Drosophila melanogaster: one gene and its partners. The gene in region 3 interacts genetically with the main gene of each other region. Each region holds a gene or a part of one and is shown on either strand. Other genes may lie near its edges.

What was found.
Region 1: of Dad (region 3) and gbb, changing one suppresses a phenotype caused by changing the other (phenotypic suppression), as found in Drosophila melanogaster (one study listed by BioGRID).
Region 2: of Dad (region 3) and Cln7, changing one suppresses a phenotype caused by changing the other (phenotypic suppression), as found in Drosophila melanogaster (one study listed by BioGRID).
Region 4: of Dad (region 3) and upd1, changing one enhances a phenotype caused by changing the other (phenotypic enhancement), as found in Drosophila melanogaster (one study listed by BioGRID).

What each region holds. Positions count from the first base shown.
Region 1 is NT_033778.4:23,849,972-23,853,817, forward strand, and holds gbb (glass bottom boat), read left to right. Parts: upstream 1-1,590; 5' UTR 1,591-1,783; coding exon 1,784-3,151; 3' UTR 3,152-3,276; downstream 3,277-3,846. Other genes in the region: ytr (yantar), read right to left, coding at 600-841; eIF6 (eukaryotic translation initiation factor 6), read right to left, coding at 1-101; bgcn (benign gonial cell neoplasm), read right to left, coding at 3,588-3,723, 3,779-3,846. UniProt on the Drosophila melanogaster protein: Required for the growth of imaginal tissues and for patterning of the adult wing.
Region 2 is NT_037436.4:7,341,384-7,346,907, forward strand, and holds Cln7 (Cln7), read right to left. Parts: upstream 3,801-5,524; 5' UTR 3,747-3,800; intron 3,002-3,746; exon of another isoform or gene 2,709-3,001; intron 2,563-2,708; 5' UTR 2,477-2,562; coding exon 2,285-2,476; intron 2,228-2,284; coding exon 1,721-2,227; intron 1,661-1,720; coding exon 1,509-1,660; intron 1,450-1,508; coding exon 853-1,449; intron 788-852; coding exon 595-787; 3' UTR 501-594; downstream 1-500. Other genes in the region: lark, read left to right, coding at 1-87; CG14834 (uncharacterized protein), read right to left, coding at 4,439-5,524.
Region 3 is NT_033777.3:17,052,288-17,057,043, reverse strand, and holds the start of Dad (daughters against dpp), read right to left. Parts: upstream 3,038-4,756; 5' UTR 2,682-3,037; intron 2,148-2,681; exon of another isoform or gene 2,009-2,147; 5' UTR 1,870-2,008; intron 1-1,869.
Region 4 is NC_004354.4:18,304,784-18,310,899, reverse strand, and holds upd1 (unpaired 1), read left to right. Parts: upstream 1-1,608; 5' UTR 1,609-2,091; intron 2,092-2,640; exon of another isoform or gene 2,641-3,163; 5' UTR 3,164-3,300; coding exon 3,301-3,657; intron 3,658-3,732; coding exon 3,733-3,882; intron 3,883-4,071; coding exon 4,072-4,806; 3' UTR 4,807-5,546; downstream 5,547-6,116.

The DNA of each region.
Region 1 (3,846 bases), on a different chromosome or scaffold from region 3:
AAGGTCTCGGATCCACCGATGGCCACCAGGCAGTATGTGTTGGTTAGTTTAGTGAAGACGCCGATGTCGTCGTTGTTCTCGAATTGGACGCGTAGAGCCATTTTCTCTGTATTTACGTGGATCCTCTTTTCCTGCTGGTTACTCTCTTTTCGGATTTACTGGCCTGACTGAGCCTGCTGCCGGATGAGTTCTGGATTCTGTTTATATGTCCGGAAATCAATTTAAATGTCGTGATGAAATTCGCACAATTTCGCTTCACGTGGTAATTTTTTTTTGATGTTGGGACGCCAGAGCTGCATAGCCATCGATTGGCTGCCTATCGAAGTGTGGGTCTATCGATACTCGTGGGTAAATAAACAAGTTCTGAACGGCGATTTCGGGGGTTTGAGGGGTCAATTGTCCCCTGTGTTGGAATGTGTTCCTAAATCTACACAAACACTCCCTAAGCTTATCCTAAACTTATAAATATTGGTTGCTATTTAAACCCCATTTCACGGTTATCCAGCACGCCCCTGAACTGTGACCCACATCCCCGATTTTAGTGACTAGTTTTATACTTATCGTGGTTGGCATTTGGTACACTACACTTTCTTATTCACCTAGATCGCCGACTCCGCGCACGGTCGCGCTCCCGTTCCCGCTCCCGATCTCGGCTGCGACTGCGGTCGCGATCCCGTTCCCGGTCGCGGCGACCGGCGCCTCCAGATCCGGATCCTCCGGCTGGCGCTACTCCGATGGCCTCCCGCTCCCGGGAACGGCGCTCCCTGCGCTTCTTCCGCTCGGATCGCTCCTTCTCGCGTCTCCTGTGCGCCGGCGAGGCGGGACTTCGGCTGCGGCCCATGGCTCCGTTTCGGTCTCTGCTTGTGTGGCGGTTTGAGTGATTGATGATGGTTTGCCTGCAGTGGATTTGAGCGGATGTTAGACTCCATGTACTCCAATTGCACCGCACGCATCCCGCTTACCGTTGCACTAGGCTGTGTCTAGCATTATTTGGGCGACACCGGCGGTGGGTAAAAACGCGCTAACTTAAAACTAAAACCAAATAAACAACGCGCGTTATCTCGCCGCGACGCCGAAACGGAATGAGGAATGCAGAATGCGGATGATGATGCGAGGGATGCGATGCAAGGGCAAAACATGGCCACCTATCGGATATCGATTGATGGTCGATTTTATCTTCGATAAAAATGTATCCTATGTATATCGCATACCGAATGTTTAAATCGATCTGTTTCCTTTTGAATATGAACTATGTATATATATTAATTAATATTTTTTAATAGCATTACCTATATTATATTTCAAATTATGCCCGGACTATGATAAATTTAACAAATTCATAATTACAAATCTTTCGTCAATACCACTTCCATAAATAGTTTAAAATATCAAAATATTACGAACTTTGCCAATATAAACGTTATATTTTCTACATTTACACAGTTTCTTCTTTTTTTTTTTGAAGCTATTAAACCACATATTTGCTCACGATCGCAGCTGAAATGAACTACTATGTTGGATCTTCTAGTTCGATCTTCAAGACCGATTCATTTTCCAAGTCGCGGGACTGCCAACTCCCGCGAAATAGAAAGAAAATGCATCTTGAAGATTAAGATACACACAACAATCCGTAAGTGCGTCAGAATTTTCAGAACCCGCGGTTCGCTGGAACTCTCGAAATAAACAACTAAATGCCACTGTACATCTGAAGCTATCGCAAGTGGATAGCGCCGTAGATATAGAAAAACAGCGATCGCAACCGATCCGTCCAAAACACGAAATAATGTCGGGACTGCGAAACACCTCGGAGGCCGTTGCAGTGCTCGCCTCCCTGGGACTCGGAATGGTTCTGCTCATGTTCGTGGCGACCACGCCGCCGGCCGTTGAGGCCACCCAGTCGGGGATTTACATAGACAACGGCAAGGACCAGACGATCATGCACAGAGTGCTGAGCGAGGACGACAAGCTGGACGTCTCGTACGAGATCCTCGAGTTCCTGGGCATCGCCGAACGGCCGACGCACCTGAGCAGCCACCAGTTGTCGCTGAGGAAGTCGGCTCCCAAGTTCCTGCTGGACGTCTACCACCGCATCACGGCGGAGGAGGGTCTCAGCGATCAGGATGAGGACGACGACTACGAACGCGGCCATCGGTCCAGGAGGAGCGCCGACCTCGAGGAGGATGAGGGCGAGCAGCAGAAGAACTTCATCACCGACCTGGACAAGCGGGCCATCGACGAGAGCGACATCATCATGACCTTCCTGAACAAGCGCCACCACAATGTGGACGAACTGCGTCACGAGCACGGCCGTCGCCTGTGGTTCGACGTCTCCAACGTGCCCAACGACAACTACCTGGTGATGGCCGAGCTGCGCATCTATCAGAACGCCAACGAGGGCAAGTGGCTGACCGCCAACAGGGAGTTCACCATCACGGTATACGCCATTGGCACCGGCACGCTGGGCCAGCACACCATGGAGCCGCTGTCCTCGGTGAACACCACCGGGGACTACGTGGGCTGGTTGGAGCTCAACGTGACCGAGGGCCTGCACGAGTGGCTGGTCAAGTCGAAGGACAATCATGGCATCTACATTGGAGCACACGCTGTCAACCGACCCGACCGCGAGGTGAAGCTGGACGACATTGGACTGATCCACCGCAAGGTGGACGACGAGTTCCAGCCCTTCATGATCGGCTTCTTCCGCGGACCGGAGCTGATCAAGGCGACGGCCCACAGCAGCCACCACAGGAGCAAGCGAAGCGCCAGCCATCCACGCAAGCGCAAGAAGTCGGTGTCGCCCAACAACGTGCCGCTGCTGGAACCGATGGAGAGCACGCGCAGCTGCCAGATGCAGACCCTGTACATAGACTTCAAGGATCTGGGCTGGCATGACTGGATCATCGCACCAGAGGGCTATGGCGCCTTCTACTGCAGCGGCGAGTGCAATTTCCCGCTCAATGCGCACATGAACGCCACGAACCATGCGATCGTCCAGACCCTGGTCCACCTGCTGGAGCCGAAGAAGGTGCCCAAGCCCTGCTGCGCTCCGACCAGGCTGGGAGCACTACCCGTTCTGTACCACCTGAACGACGAGAATGTGAACCTGAAAAAGTATAGAAACATGATTGTGAAATCCTGCGGGTGCCATTGAATTCAATTTACCACTTAGGCTAAGCACTATAGCACTATATATATAAAGCATTTCTGTGTAGATGTCCATCTCTGTACTAATCTCGAATATTTTTATACAAAAATATACAGCGCTGTACCTAACTGAAGTTCGTCTCTTGAGGAGTTTCATTTGTGGCTAGTATTAAAAGATACTTCTTCTTTATTGTCTCACATCTACTCATGATTGGGATGCACAAATTTCAAATATTTCAAAACAACGATGATAGACGCAATGTGGTACTAAAAGTACGTATTTTGATTCTGGTTAGCTCTCATTTAAAATTAACAGTCATTTCACAGCAATAAAAGGCACAATCAAGTCCTATTTGGACTTCGGCACGCTTCTTTGGATCATTCTTAATTATTTTAGGACTCAATTAGTAGGGAAGCAGGCAATATGCGCGAGGAAGCGGGCTTTATCGCTTGTGAATCCAGTGGTGGCGGAAGGCAAACAATTCCATAATCAAGTTGCCGACACGCTTGTCAATTAGCGCCGACATCAGGCGGCCATCAAACACCGGTGTCTGCACATTCAACGACACACACGCATCTCTGAAAGGAGAGCACATTAGACTGGAGTATTCTCCGCAACTTGGATTGCACTTACAAGATTTCAAACACCGGAATGTTGTTTCGGAAGTATTCCTGCAACATAAATACACCATTGACGAATTT
Region 2 (5,524 bases), on a different chromosome or scaffold from region 3:
AGTCGCGATGCATTCGACGAACGCATGATTTCGTCGCGCGGAATGCGCGGTCCATCGCCGCCGGGTCGCAGATATGCGCCCTACTGAGATGAGTTTTACTATCACGGCAGCAGCTGAGTAGCGGTTGCACTACCCATGCCCCTGCCAATGGGTCACACATTCTACCACACGACCAGCAATCGAAGAACGGCGCCTGTGGACTGCTGGCTGCTCTGCTGGTCGCCAGCGGCGGCCTACTACCATCACCACCAAGCACACCAGCAGCACATGCTGATGCCGACGACAATTTCACAACTGTGGCTGCCGCCTTGGTAAACCACATACATGTTACTAAACCCAAACTAACCATTACTCGTACACTTAAACAAGAAGATGGAAATACGTGTTTAAGCATCCTCCCTATATGCAAAACACGCCAAAAAAAAAAAAGAACTAGACAACGACGTGCAACCTCTACACATTCAACCGTAGTACCAATAAACGCATAATCAGTCGAAACTGTGCAAAAATAAACACTGTATTTTAAAGCTAGTTTAAGGGGCAGTATTGCAACGATGTGTCTTAGATCTACGGATGCTCCATAGCCAGCCGTCGTTACGCATGTGAAATCGAGTGCTGGCTGCCGTGCTTGCCCAAAATGGGCTGATCAGGAGACAGATCTTCCGGTGGGCTACCATTGTGCGTGTCCGGTGAGTGGTCGTCCAGCAGCTTGCTACCATTGTGCTTGTTCAGTTCTTTCAGCTCGACAGGTGTGGTCTTTTCGAATGTTGGCGGGATTAGTAATCGACTGAAAAGATAACATGTTATTTATTGTGGGGAACCGCCTTAAAAACGAATAGTATTTCAGCTTACTTGCTGCACTGTAGCCAAAACATGGAGACCAGCATCATGGCCGAAGTAACGCCGAAGGTCCAGAACGTACCTAGGCGCGTGTAGATGGATCCCACGAAGACTGGACCAAGGACGCGGGACAGACAACCCGAACCGGTCATCCAGCCCATCCAGACGCCCTGCGGCCGAGGTCCCAGAACTTTGGAGAATATGGTCTGGATGAGAGTCACCCCAATGGGATATCCTATCGATGTGAAGGCAAATCCAATGATGAACTGCGTTAAGGTCAAGGCCGGCAGTTCGCCGCACCATTTCTGCGTTGTGGGGCAGCCCAAGAAGATGGGATCGCTTTCGCTTAGGTTCCAGCTGGCATTGAATGGCTGCGCCAACTTTGGCGGATCCGGACCCCAAGGCACGAAGAGCACGCGACCGAGAAACATCAGCGAGAATCCGCCCCAGATGAGCACATAACGCTCGGCTATAATCTTGCACATGGGCTCAATCAAAACGAACGTGACCAGGGAGACAATAGCTGCGGTGGTCATCATGATGCCCATGTACCATAGGGCCTCGTCGTTGGACCAAGCGAACATATCCATTGTCAGGGATGTGCCCAGACTGCAAGGCGAGGAAGCAATAGTTTAAAAAAAAAAAAACCCACTCTGAGGATTACTCACGTCTCCAACAGCACAAAGTTGAATACCAGAACAAAGAAGGCGACGATCAAAGTCCATGCGGATAAATAGCTGGGCTTGATGCCTTTCCAAGTCTCCTTCTCGGATGTGCCGCCCTGCATCACCATCACCTCGCGAGCTGCAATTTTGTGCTCCTGAAGGAGTGTTCAAATTTAATGACACTTTAGAGCGAACCAAGTAACCTGGCCACTCACCTCAAACACTCCGGGCAGGAACATCATGAAGTTTCCAATGCTCATCAGCACATTGATCCATCCGGATGCCGTGTACATGTTGAAGTGCATCTTGCCCCACAGCCAGACGTGTCCCTGATCTCCCAGCGGTGTGACTGCCGCCTGCAGAGTTGGACCAATGATGAATCCAAGGACCTGTGCCAGCGAAACCATTGCAACGGCATGTGTGCGTTCGCTGATTCGTGTCGCAGCGGACAAATAGGAGCGGCACAGGGCAATATTCGCCGAGCTGACACCGATGAGGAACCGCGAGGAGAGCATCCAGTACTTCACATTGTCCGGACGCAGTTCCAGCGAGGAGTATATGCCACTGGCCAGCGTGAATAGAGACAGCGATAGCAGCAGTGGCAGACGAATCTTGCCCAGCTTGTTGCCCCACCACCCAAAGATCGGACTGAAGATCATTTGTCCCAGCGGATTGGCGGCCACAATCAGTCCCATAAACTCCTTGCCCGCATCGGGATCTAGCTGAAGAGAGATGAGATTGAAAAGCAGCTGGATAGCGTGACCAAAATGGGTACGCACCTTGTTGAGGTAGGGCCAAATGCCTGTGAGTATGATGCTGAAGCCAAGCGCCATCAGAAACATCGTAAAGTAGATGATGCGGACGGAGCGCCAGCGCTGCTTGTACTCCTCCAGCGTCTCCAGGCCATCGTCCACATCCTCCGGCAGTCTTTTGGTTTCAAAGCGAGCGGAAACTCGGCGGGCAAACTCCATAATTGGTTTGCTTGGCTGTGATGTTTGATGGGTTGGTTGGCTGCGATGGATGTGTGTTTGCTGGATTTCACCGCCACTGAGTCATTCTGTAAATGGATTCGAATGAGTTTTTTTTTTCTTTATGGAGCTTTTTGTGAATCGATGTGTCAGTTGTTAGACACGCTTTTAAAGTCTTGTAACTATTAATGATTCAGAGTAGAGTATGTCTCTAATCGGCGGTGCCTTCAATTACTTGAATATGGATGGAGTGGATTATCTGCCAGACGTCGCGTGATTATCCTCCTCCGAAAAAACCACAGATATGGAAAACAGTTTGCTGAACTTATCACACAAATTGCGGAAGATAAAGGCAATCGGTGCCGAAATAAAGCTGTTTGTAGTTATTCGTTGCCATGTGCGGGTGTCTGTATGTCGTTTTTCTTTAGTAAGAGCCACTATCACTGTGAGTATGCCATTGTTTTTGTTTATATGGCATGATAAGGTTCGTACAGAACGTCAGTTTATTACATGATTTCATTTATCAGAGCAAAAGAAATTGATTCGCCCCAGTACAGGGTACGAAATAAAAACATTTTGTTATAACTTTAGTTTTCGATAGTGCAACAAGTGCAGCGATTAGCCATATCAATCAGACTTGTCCACTTCCTACATCAATCAAATCATCACTGGTTGAAGATCACTCCGTCGCAAATCAATTTCTAATTGATTATACCAATTGCCAATTGATGCAGTTGGTTTTTTTTTTTTCTTTTTTTTTTTAGTTGAGCGCCAGATTCTCGTTCTCGAAGTACCCAAACACACACACACACATCTTTCAGATACAAGATACTAGATATGAGATAGCGACCGTTGATCTTTGGCTGCCTATTGTTTTTTTCGTTAAGCTACTTTGCCTTTGCACTCCTTGCTTTGATTTTCAAATTACTTAGCTTACTAAGTTGTATTTTGTTTTTCGTCACACACTGAAGCAAAACTATGTAAATTAAATGGAAACATGCACTCTTTGTTTTTTTTTAAATTACTCTTTCTTTGTCTCACTCTCGCTCTCCCGCTTCCTCTCACTCGATTTTTGTAATATTTAACCAAACGCAAAGAAAGCGCTTTTCTCCCTCTGCCAATGGCTATATCTGTATCTGTATCTGTATCTGCGTGCATGTATCTTTCTGTGCATCTAGAACTCAAGGGCACCCCCCTACCGCGCGCATCCTATTTGTGGGGCTTCCAGCGGGTAATGCACCTTTTACCAATCGGGCTATGTCTTTTTAACTACCTGTTGCAGCGGAACAGCGACGACCACTGGAGATGAACGAACGCGACGGACTGAACTGAACTGACGCGGCAGCGCCTGTTGCCAACAAATCGGACGACGCGTCGCCACAGAGCGTGATGGAGCTGCCCGAAGAGAGAGAGGAGCCAACGGCAGATAGCACCCGCGCCCGAAAGTATGCTACTTAGATACTCCGAAATCTATGGCATCTGTAAGATAGATCGCAAGGGTTTTCTATTCAGGCAAAATATTCCTAAGCATAGTATAGTAACTTGTTATCAATCCACAATCCATGTAACACCAATACTCCTTCTTCAAATTATCATTATTATACTAGATCATCAGTAGAATAGATGTATCTTTGAGATTCGATTCGAGATCCAATTGAAATAATAGGGAAACTGAAGAATGGAGTTCTATAGAAACCTGTCTAACCTACCAAACTTCTACCTGCGTGTGTGAATACTATAATGACTCATTGGAAAACGATCTTTAAGAACGCCTTCATATTGTTACAGGTACATAAAGATCTTACTACTTCAGATACTTTAATTTCGAACGCTTCTATCTTCGCTGCTACTGCAGAACACTATAATGTGCAAATTTATATTTATTTTTGAGAGACCAAAATGCCTTATAAATATACAACAAATGATTATAATAATAAAAGTGAAAGTAAATTGGGTATGTTGGGTCTACAGATTTCCCTGTGCCTGCTGCAAACGCATCAGTCGCCGCTGCCTCAGCCAGGGCAGCAGGAGTCCACCTGGACGCTGGCCGGGAAGTGGAGCTCGTGGGGCAAGGTCCATTGGGGCAGCCAGGGTGACGGCTTCGGGGATGATCTCATTGCGCCGGAAACCACGGAAGGTGGCGCTAGGCCTGCGTGGCACACGATCCTCAGGCTGGCGATCCTTTTTCTGCGGCACATCCTCGTTTCTAATATTCAGGCTAAAGACATCCCCAGTGCGTGGATCGGAGGACAGATGACTGACCGTATCTTGAAGCACCTTGGGTATCCGCTCCACCACCTGCAAGGCATCGCGGAGTGGCCGAATCTCTCGCTCCGGTTGCTTGCGCGACTGCTCCTTGGACGCCTTGCTCTTGGCGCTCTTTCGGAACAAAGGACTCTTCTTGTTCTTCCGCGAGAGTGCATCCTTCTTAAGTGGAGCGGGGCGAGTCAGTCGCGAAGCTGACTGCTCCAGGAACCATGGTTCCCGACGAGCCGGCTCCTCCAGCTCAGCCTGACGCTTGAATGCCGATGGCTTGGCTGATGCACGCTGCTGCTTCTGGGCTCTAGTGCCCAGTGGCGAGGGACGCACCAAGGAACTGGCAAAGTCATTGAACCACTCCAGGTGATCGACGGACCTCTTGTGCCTTATCTGCTCCGAAGCCTTGGATGGCGTTTCTAAGCCATTGGCCGTACGTTGAATGACCAACTTTGTGGAGGGCTTGTAGATGGTTATGTTTGAGCGACGATTTCGAGGCGACTGCATTGAAGTGCTGGCGCTCCTGGCCACCAGATCTCGCTTCTGCTCGAACTGCTGTGCGTTGCGCACAAAGCGATTGCTGCTCGGTCCCTGGATGACGATTTCGAATGGTAGATTCAACGTCTTGGCATTCATCTGCATGGTGCGAATGCACTCAGTATCGGATTGGTCGTCATTACACTCGCACAGGCACTCCTCGCCGCAGTAGAAGCCCAAACAGCCGCAATGCTCACACAGCGCCTTGCAATTCTTCTCGAGCTTCGACTCCGTCAGGGGATTCACATTGCGACTAGC
Region 3 (4,756 bases):
ATAATGAGCGTAGTGTTGTTTGAATGTGCCACATTTCCTATAAAAAGGCTACATTCCCCGTTTTCGATTTCCAGACTACGCCCCTGGTGGCAGGCAAGGAATCTAGTGGTGGATCGCTTGAGTGAGTAATACCCCCTCCCCGCCCTCTTTCACCAACGGACAGCCGACGCCAGTGCATATGCAAAGATCTGTGCGGCAGCATCAGCTGTCAGCGAGAAAGAGACGGACGATGGTGGGGGGGAACGATTGGTAAGGGGGAACGATTGGTAAGGGGGAACGAACGGGAGAGCGCCGCAAATTAACAGCCCAAATACGCTTGTGTTTGTGTATGTGTGTGGCCCATGCGACTATTTCCATTTTGTTGCTGGCATTTCTTGCGCTCCTTATCGACGACAAAAGTGGCGCCGCCGGCATGACGGCAACAACATAAAAAACAGCACAGCAGCGACGAACAGCAACAAAATTACGAGTCAGCCCCACAAGCACGCTCACCAACACCAACACACCGCATCAAACACACTCGCGCTCTCTCGCTCACTCATACATACAGAATGCTTGCGTGCAGAGTAAAAAAAAGGCAGGGCGGCGGGCGTGCGAGCGAGAGGGAAATGCCTGGCGCCACTGACGTAATAAAAGAAATAATAGTAACGATGTCGGCGGCAGAGGCGTCGTCGGAATGGCGCCACACCAACACACGCTCACCTTAGACAGACACACGGACAGGGACGAGCGACGCGACGGTCGGTTTGTCAGCCGGTTTGACAAGTTGAAGAATCAACAATTTAAGGTTGAGGTGAGTATGAAATAATCTACCGCAGCCGTGGTTCAAAAGAGTACGTACCACCAGAGAGTGCGAGTGTGGTGGGAATTAGAATTGAAGGCGCTCTCGAAACTCTTCTGAAAAGTCATCAAGTCGAGAACTTAGCGTTCTTAAAGTCTAGCTTTGAATTAGAACTTATCAGAATGCATCTGAGTTTTTCAATCGGAAACAAAAAAAGGTATGTTTTAAACAGTAGCATTATCTTATGAGACCAATCTTAGGACTTTACTTATTTTGTCAAGAACAGAAACATAATTAATAATAGGAATCAATTTATAAGATCCTTCATTCCCTCCACATAAACCGTATAACTGCACGATTAATATTTGTCAATAATAAAAAATGCAATGCGAAAGCGACAGAAATAAATTATTTACATATGGACATACATCTAAAATTATTTATGATGTGCGATGTATGCACCACAGTTTTTAGCTTCAAAATTGCAAAGTAATTGATACCACCGTACTTTTGCTTTCAAATATTTACCAATCTTGAGTCAGCCGGAACAAAAACCCTTCCACATTTAAAACTATGAAAGATGTGTAATCCAGTGAACAATAGAGAGAGCTGTTTACGTTCATAAAATTCAGTATTTAGAGCAAGTCCAATACAAAAAAAAAAAATTGCACATCAACACTTCAAAAGCCATATATCGCACATTTAACAATCAATTGAAAACAGTCTATACTCAAGAATTTTTATTCAAACCCGCTGAGTGATTATTTTTTCCAAATTCACGTTTACAAATTTATATGTATATTTATATATACATACGTAGTTATGGACTTTCTGATAATGAAAGCATGAGTAATTGTAAGTCCAATTGGAAACTATAGCGATTTGGTAACAGATATTCGCGACTCGGTATTATATAAAATATAAAATTATCTTCGAAACCGCATCAGAAAATATTGAATATGAAAACTTAAATAACGCTAATGAGTGATAAGCATTTGTTTGTTGACTTAGCTATTTTGCATAATCACGAGTGCACCTCTTCAAATCGGCTTGATTTTGAGTTCTAAGGAGTGGAAATAGGTACTTACTGTTTAAAATTTTTTGTTAGGTGGTTTCCGTTTAATCCTTTCCTTATGTAGTATTACTTTTTGATATGTGTAGGTGTATTTGATATGTTTAGAGGTTCACTTGATAATTTGTATTTACATTTACTGCAGAAGAAACAAACTATTAGCAACGAATTTGAATTTGTTTAACACGTGCCGACGGGTTTTTGTTATTGGATTGGTAACCGCAGTCGATTTTTTCTTTTTTTGCTGCTGGTCAGTCACTTTTTCCTATGCATGTGTACGTTTGTGTGGATTTAATAAGGTGCGAGTAATGTGTTGATTTCGGTTGAATATTATGTTGAAGTAGCCGAATGCCGGAAAACAATAACAATTTTTAACGTGGTGGAAAAGGTGTTTTTTGTTGGCTTGCGATTTGCGCTCTGCTTTGATTCTGCCGGCGTCGCTACCACCGCTATATACGTATACGTTTGTTTGTTTGTATGGGCCAGTGCAGGTACAATGTGTGTACGTGGCTGGCGAACAATTGCATTTCTTTTCTTGCTGTTATTTGCTCAGTTAAAGCTTGAACACACTTATTATTTGGCCCGCATTTTCCCCCCGATGCTCATTGATTTTTAATTCGCACACGAACACAACCACAAAACACACGCACGCAAACGAGATCGAAGATCCGTTATCCGGGCGGAGAATTCTCGCTCTTTCTTTGCACACACAAACACAAACAAATGCATAGAATTCATAACAGCAAGCAGCAAAAATAAAAGATTTTCGCCTGACGATTTCCAATCCCCTTCGATTCTCACTTCAATTGATTTGCCTGCTGCACTCACACTTTTTCTATGTATTTCCTCCTTCACATTTCAGTTCTAGAGCGCACAACAACTTCACTGCACTTGTTTGTTGTTTACGACGCCCGCGTTTACAACAACAAAAACAAAACCCGTAAATGTTGCGAAAAAAGAGTCGGGGAAAGGCGAAAAAGTCCGATATTTAGGAACTGCGTTTTTTTGTCATTTAATTAACCCAAAAATCATTTAGCAGTCTCGAACACAAATAACGTTATTTCGGAAAATTTCTCGTGGCAATACGTCAAGTATCCATCTTTTCGTTGATATCTTTCGGATTTGGATTTCTCGAACGGCAAAAGAACACACAAGCGACGCGGTTGAAAATTGTTGGGGCAATGAGCGAAGCGCTAACTGTGCGGATTGATAGTCTTTGGAGCTGTGGGGAATAAACGTGGGAGAAACGCCTGAGAGAGCGCCTGGGAGAGGGAGGTTTAGAGAGAGAGAGAAAAATTAAGAGACCAAGAAATTGTAAAATTAGAATCATACATAAAGTTCCCGTTCTAACAATGTATAAGAACTTCAGTTTTATTATTAATTAGAAAAGACTTGTTAAAATATCTTCATATTTTTCACATTCCCATTCCTACTACAAGTGCTAAACCAAAGAATCCAAGACATCTGAGAGTGGAGAGCATCCGTTGGATGGCTACTATGGCGTGGTGAGTTTCGTTTCGCTTCCGCGGACAGATACAACCTGCGCACGCACACCCACACTCGCTTCATGCTGGCAGTGCCGTTGGAAATAGTGTTGGCTAACGCGGTAATTTCAAAAATTGATAAGTTTTCCTAGACAAATTATGTGGGAAATACTAAGCTGTCCTATAATATAGGAGAAATCTATAACTATATGTTTATAATTGAAAAGCCGTGTTCAGTATGAGCATTTTATAATTTAAGTTAAAAAAAGATTAATGTACCTTAAAATTTTATTTAAGATGTCTTAAAAGGTAAATGCTTAAAAGGCATACAAGGTTTAATTAATTCGAATCAAATTAAAAACTCTCAGTACATATTAGCCCCTGTTAAATACGTCTGTTGAAGTTGCCAAAAAACTCAACTCCCTCGATGCTGTCGAGAGCGGAGAACCTGAGGAAGCAACATCGACATTTAGCGCGGTCTTGGTTGCCGCAAAATGTGATGAATGGTTGTGATCAAGGGCATATCAGTTGCATTGCCTTGCCCATGTCTGCCAAACACACGGACGCACACACGCCCATACAAAGTGGCGCCCCTGCAGCGGCCCTACACACACAGAAACACACTTAAAGCGCGCAGCGAGGATCGCATACCGCACTGCGAGAAAAGTCGATGGAATTATCTATGCTAAAATTTTTTACAGTCGTTATTACTATAACTAATTCTCTAAATAATAATAAATATAAGTTTACCTTTAGTTCATCTATGACATACAGTACAGTGCAATACAGTGGCAACGTCGAATTTAGTTATTGTAGTTTATTGTAATTTAAAACCGGTATTACTTAAACGTGTAAGGAACACAAGATCACGTCCAGATTTTTCACAGTGCCAAGCAGACGCTCCAACAGGAACCCTGGTTCGTCAGTTCCAGTAGAAATACATAATTGTCTCTCGTTTGGACGACTCGAAAACACAAAAGCAAATAGGCTCCCGTCATTACGATAATAATAGGTCGGGAACAGGGAACACAGGCCACTTGTGGAGTGAAACCGGCAACCGGCGATGTTGGCAGGAGGAATTTGATCGCGTCGTGAGCGTTAAATAAGCGAGAGTCGGGCCCCTGACTTGCCCCGTGGAGGGGCATGGGTATTAACTCCGGAAAGGACGGCGGCAGGAGTTTGAATACATTATTTTCTTATGAGGCCAGAGACATTCCGCAAATGCTAAACAAATAATACGACAGCGAGGAGTAGCGTCCCACAAAGCATCTTATTTAAAGGGCCTCAATTATTCAGCAGTGCCTTTGTTATGGTTAACCCTTTTCTTAGAATATAAAAATATTGCAACTCTACTAAGCCAATTGCTCTTAAGCATAATATTGGGAAAAAGGTATTTCGAATGTATATATTAAAACTAAA
Region 4 (6,116 bases), on a different chromosome or scaffold from region 3:
TATATGCGAGCGAGTCCCTCTCTGTGGGTTGTGGGTCCTGCGAGATTCGAGTCCTGTGCGTCCGTCCTGCCTTGCGGCGAAATAAAGGCGAGTGGCCCCGCTGCGCAACACAACTGCTTCCTGCAGCAGTTGCTGCACGCTGCACTTACGGTTAGACGCAAGGACACACCGTCCGCTGTCCGTTTCGGCCCGCTATCTGACCATCTACAGCTGTTTTCGGCTGCCCAAAACAATGCGGCCATAATGCAGCAAAACTCTCAATTTAATTAGACCGTCAATTGTGCAAGCCCTCGAAAGTAGGGAGAAATATGGGCATATTTGACATAGGGATGTCCTAGGTAGATGGGCGTCCGGGGGTTCGCCAGTTGGGAGTACCTGGCCCACTGGCCAGAGATTTCACACTCTTCTTCTAGTTACCCACCCAAAGCGGAATTGCGACAATATCAAGCCGAACTCATCGAGATGGTCAAATATCAGCGCTGCGATTATCAAAATAAATAATTTGAGGTGAGTTATAAATGTATCAAAAAATGATGAAACAACTTAATGTTTTACGATTTTTATGTAAATCTTTATTAATTAATTACCCATACGAACAGATTTAGGCATATATATGTATATTATTAACTTCATTTAAACAACTTGAATCATGTCAAATGAATTTGAATGGTATATACATATATAATAGATTGTGAGTGCCAAAATCACTACTTCAGTTATATTGATTGTGGTTCGAACACGTATAAATAATATTACTATAAAAATGTATATATTATGTATTATTATATATATTACTACTGGTATTGAGAAGAATTGTAACTGCACAATTGGTTGATTCCTTAGTGCTTTATCCTATTTTACGCTTTATTCCTTATAATTACTAAATTAATTTTAATATACAAAATATATAGCAATTTACTAGTTGTTAGAAAAAGTTGAAGAAAATGTAATATTGGTTAACGTTCCTCGTGGATAGTTCTCGAATGGATAGTTTACCTGGATTAGCGAGCTGAATAGCGGTGTTATGTTGGTCATTTCCGTTGATCACTTTCTAGACCGATTTGAATGTCAGGACTTTTTGGGAGGGGTGAGCAGGCCGCTCAAGGTCACCCAGAGAGTTTGAGAGAGGGAGAGAGAGAGAGGACCTAGCTGACCGGGCTTAGAAGAGTGAGACAGAGCCAGGTAGGCCTGGTCTTTTGGGGCACCAGGTAGGCTGCCTCTCTTCTTTTCCCGCTCTTTGAGTGAGTGACGCGGATTGGGCAAGTGGGAAAATTCCAGTTGCAATGGCGACCGGCCCAAGATCGCCCTGGTCCGCAGGAGCGAGCGGGATGGCGCGCGAGGACAGCCGGTTGGCAGGCTCAAAGACGGCACCAATACACACTTCGGCCAGGTAGGCGCATACGCACACACGTGCAGGTGACCTGGGAATAGGATACCCCGAATACGATCGGTGAGAGCGGGCGCGGGAGCGGGACAGCCTGCGGTTCTTCGGATCTGAATCTGATCGGTCCGAATCGGCGGTCTTCTTCTGGCTCGGACCATGGCGTACCGCTCGTCGGCACTCGGCGGGCAGCGACGCCGGCAGAGGCCGCTCAGCTCGCCTCAGTTCCCATTTCAGTTTCGGTTTCGGCCTTTTGGCGCTGCTCATCGGTCGGTCGGTTGGTCGGTGGTCGGTCGGTATCGCTCTGGTATTCTGGTATCTGGTATCCGCAGCCTCTCAGCGAAGAAAGCTGGTCAAATCCAGCGCGACTTTGGGCTCAGTTCGGTTTCACACTCGAACGCGAGCAGAAGTGTCCGCGAATCAGTCTCCAAAGCATCGAAATCACCAAATCAGAACACAAACTGAAGCACGGATTTGAACTCGATCTGTGGTCAAGTGGTCTCACAAATATTATATATAAATACATTTTTTTGCGAGTGTTGTGCTGCAAGTGTGTCCATTGAAAACCGCCGGAAAATCAACGAACAACGAATCTCGAACGATCATCGAACATTTGGATTAACGTACAGACTTTTGGGAGCTCAGGCGCAGCACAAACCACGGGGATCCCGCGAGGATCCTGAACGATTCCATTTTTCATCTATAATGCGGTGTGTGTATTATTTTTAATTTGATCAAGACTTAAGAGCAGGCACAATTGGAGAGTGGAGAAGCGATCGAAAAGGATATTTTGGTCAATATCAATTCTCCACTCTTCAAGTGACTTATCAACAAGAAACGACCAACGATCTACTGTTAAGCAAAAAGGACATTCTGTGACAGCAACTGCAATTTTGGGAATTAGGATTAAATTATATAGTTTAATTAATTCGCTCTGCATTAAAATGCAAATCCATTCAGGATATTGTTACTTGTGCGAATCCTTTCCGTTCGTTTTTAGCAGCAAACGATCTTCAGTCTCGAATTTTAATCCTGTCAGATAAAGTAGCTAACTTGAATGGAGAATTTGAAATGTTCAAATTTTAGAATTAGCCCCAAATCCAAAATTCAACCTCAAAAGTTTCCATACACTTTCACACACTGGAAGTTAAAGCCAAGCCAAGCCAGAAGGCAGAGATTTGTCGCCTGGAGAAGATTAGATCCTCGAAACTTGGATCGATACGTCTTCGTTATTCGCTCAGGCTACTCTCGAGTTAATTGTCTAAATTAAAAAGTTTCCCCGCCCTCAATATACACACATATCGCTCTGGAAAAGACAAAAAAAAAAAAACAACGAAAAGCAAAAAAAACCGCAAAACAAACATAGAGAAAATGTTAAAAAAATCGAACCAAATTGTTGAGACTGTTGTCTGGTTGCAGTTGCATTCGCATTGAAGGAGGCTCGGCCGATCATCCGACCCGTAATCCCGATCACCTCAGAGCTCCAGCATCGAAGCACCCGACCACCCAATCCCACCCAGTAACCCATCCACTCCCAAGGGAGTCCAGTTAGTTAACCATCTAGTCAGGGAGGAACAGTGATAGCAGTTGATCGTTGGTCGTCGCGCGTTGTAGCAGAAAATTGAATTTACTTTTGCATTCTCGATACTCATAGTGTTTTTTCTCCACATCTCTTCCCTTCTGACCCCCCATCCCCACCCTTCACATATATCCTATATATATATATTGTAACCCCGTTCGCTGTATCTGCACACTGATTTCGATACGGACCGCGGACAGTAGTTGGTTGGCAGTGCGCTGCGACCACAGCTAAAAACAGCACCACGGCAGCCGGCAACGGAAACGGAAACATCAGCGGAAGCGGTAGCGGTAGCGGTAACGGATTCCGGCGCAGAAGAGAAAGTGGCTACCATGCGGCGATGGCTCGTCCGCTGCTCCTGCTCCTGCCCATCCTACTCGTCCTGCTCCTTGCCGCCCAGTTGCCCCACCTCGCCGAGGGGCGCAGCACCACCAGCAGCGGCGGTCTAACGGTTATCGATAGCGAGCGCCTGCGCATTCGCACCACCTCCAGTACGGCTTCAGCTCAGCATCCCAATCAGGGCACGATCCCTGCCAGCGCCGCTAGTCCGCGCAAGCGCCACAGAAAGCGGAACAGCAACTGGATCGACTATCGCAACTTCGACGAGAACACCACCGCCCTGGAGTGGGCCAATCCCTGCGGTGGCAACTATCATCCCTCGGCGGGTGATCGCTTCAATCGCCAGCGTCCCAGGCAGGTGAGTTCAAACGGCAGCGCTCTTTGGACCCGATCCATATGTAATCCGCTCCCCATTTTATCTGCTTCTCCACAGAGCTTCAATCAGCTGAAGCGCCACGCCTTTCGGGAGTACCGCAGCCTAAACAGTAGCCAGGACTCGGCCATAGATATCCGCAACATGACCATGTGGTCCCTCCACACGCACAACTACAAGTTCCTGCCCAAGCTCAAGCCCAATTCCACGGTAAGCAATCCTACAGTCATACTTTTTATCTATTAACTTAGTTGTCAAAACTAGTTACTAAATCCATCTCGTTATCAACTTTGTATCTATGTATCTTGAAAATAGCTCAATTATCTCGTTATCAACTTTGTATCTATGTATCTTGAAAATAGCTCACAATTGTCTCCATCTTTTTGATTTCTTCCACAGATTGCCCTAAAGCGCTGGTACCGCAACATGCAAACTTACGTGGCCAGCTTTGCGTATCTGAGGCGCCAGCAGATCCGCTGGGATCAGCGGTCCATCACCCGCGAGTCCAGCACCGCCCGCGAGCTGCGCGAGCTGCTCCTGAGCTCGCGGCGCATCCTCTGCGAGCTGGAGACAGCCGTCAACCAGACGCAGAGTCCGCGCCAGAAGCAGCGGCGCAGTGGTGCGGCGGTCACAGCAGTTGGCGGCACCACCATGCTGGGTCAGCAGCTGCCACAGATCTCGCGTCTCGAGATGAACAAGCGTTTGAAGCTGCGCTCCAAGACGAGTGGGCCCGGTATGGGTGGTGCTGCTTCCAGTGCATCCATGGCGGCGGGCGAGGCGGACTCGATCGATATGCGCTTTGTGAAGCACCACTACTACGACTTTTTGCGCACCATGTACCAGCTGCTGCGGCGGGATGGCAAGCGGGTAAGGAGTCGGCCACGGAAGCACCACAAGAAGCAGCAGAGGAGCCAGAAAAAGTTGCTACAGCAGCAGCAGCAGCTGGCGGATCAACTGGAGCAGCGTTGGCGCAGCTCCACCTTGAATGGCAAGGAGTTCAACGAGGTATCCAAGCCAGTGGCCGGTGGTGCTGCTGGAGTTGCAGATGTTGCAGGTGTTTCCGGTGGTGGAAGCAACCAATTTGCACGTGGCAGACGTGGAAAGCGCCAGTCGAAGCGCGTGCAGCGCACGTGAAATAGCATACACAACATTCCCATATCTTTCCATTTCCCCTTACCTCAGGACTCGCCCCTTTCCTCTGTTCTACAAACCCCTAGCCTCAAATCCTTAATTTAACCGTTAATTGATCGATAGTAGCTTAAGTAAATTATTTGATTGACAGCACATAGTCTCTGTTCTCGAATTCATTGCAAGTATTACCACATTCCGTATTTATTGACATTCGTCGAGAGTGAGAGAGAGGGAGAGAGAGAGAAATAGAGAGAGAGATATAGTTATATAGCATACGAAACCACAATCTGCAGTTGCCGTTCTAGTCACATAAGAGCAACCGCCAACCACCACCCACTGGAAAGTATTATTCGCCACGCCCGCTTTGTAGCCCATTCCGCACCCGCATCGAGTACTATGTGACCCCCAGTAGGCTAAGCTAACCCATGGCATTCATGATCATAATTCCATATCCATATCCTTTAGGCTAAACTTTGATCCTAAGGCACACACACACACATTTTTTTTTTTTCGTAGGCTAGCTTGTGTTTCGACATCTGTGATATAGTGCTTGACTAGTTCGTATTTAACCTAATTGTACATATATATTATATATAGATCGCATTGGGGTGGCATGTGGCCGCATCCATGCCTTCGTAGTCCTAAGCTCGCCCTTAGAAATCGATTTTCGTATTTATAGAACCGACCGACATATGACTAAGCCAGCAGCGGAATAAAGCGAACAATAAACTGAATTGAATTTGAAAATAAATCTGGATTGCATTTCATTTTTGGGAATAAATGGTATACATATATCCATTTGGATATACTTAAATTTATGATGGAAAAGAACTTCGTACTTCCCATTTTGAGGTTCAACGTTTTTATCTTATATTTCAAAATTGAAATACCCGAATATCGAATTCAATTCTATATATTTTTATATCTTTTACCATCAAAAACCTATCAACCAACCTATCTTATGTGGCCAACACTTTCGCGTACATTGAATCCCTATACCTGGGGGAGTCAATTACTCCAATTCCCTTGACCCACTTTCTGCGGATTCGCTTTCTGCTGCGCCTTGGATGCGTCTTTATGGCTCCTCCATGGGTCATGGGTTTTATGATCTCCAGCGGCGTCAAACTATTAGCACGTCAGGCTCCCAGTTCCCCTCGATACCGAAACCGATCCCGATCCCGATTCCGATTCCGATCCCCACCTGCTTGTCTACCTGTGCCCAGAAACCCAGAGGAAATGAATGGACTGTGATCAATGGAACCACTCAATGAAAGTTCGCGCCAAGTGCATCAGAACTACATATACTCGTAAAG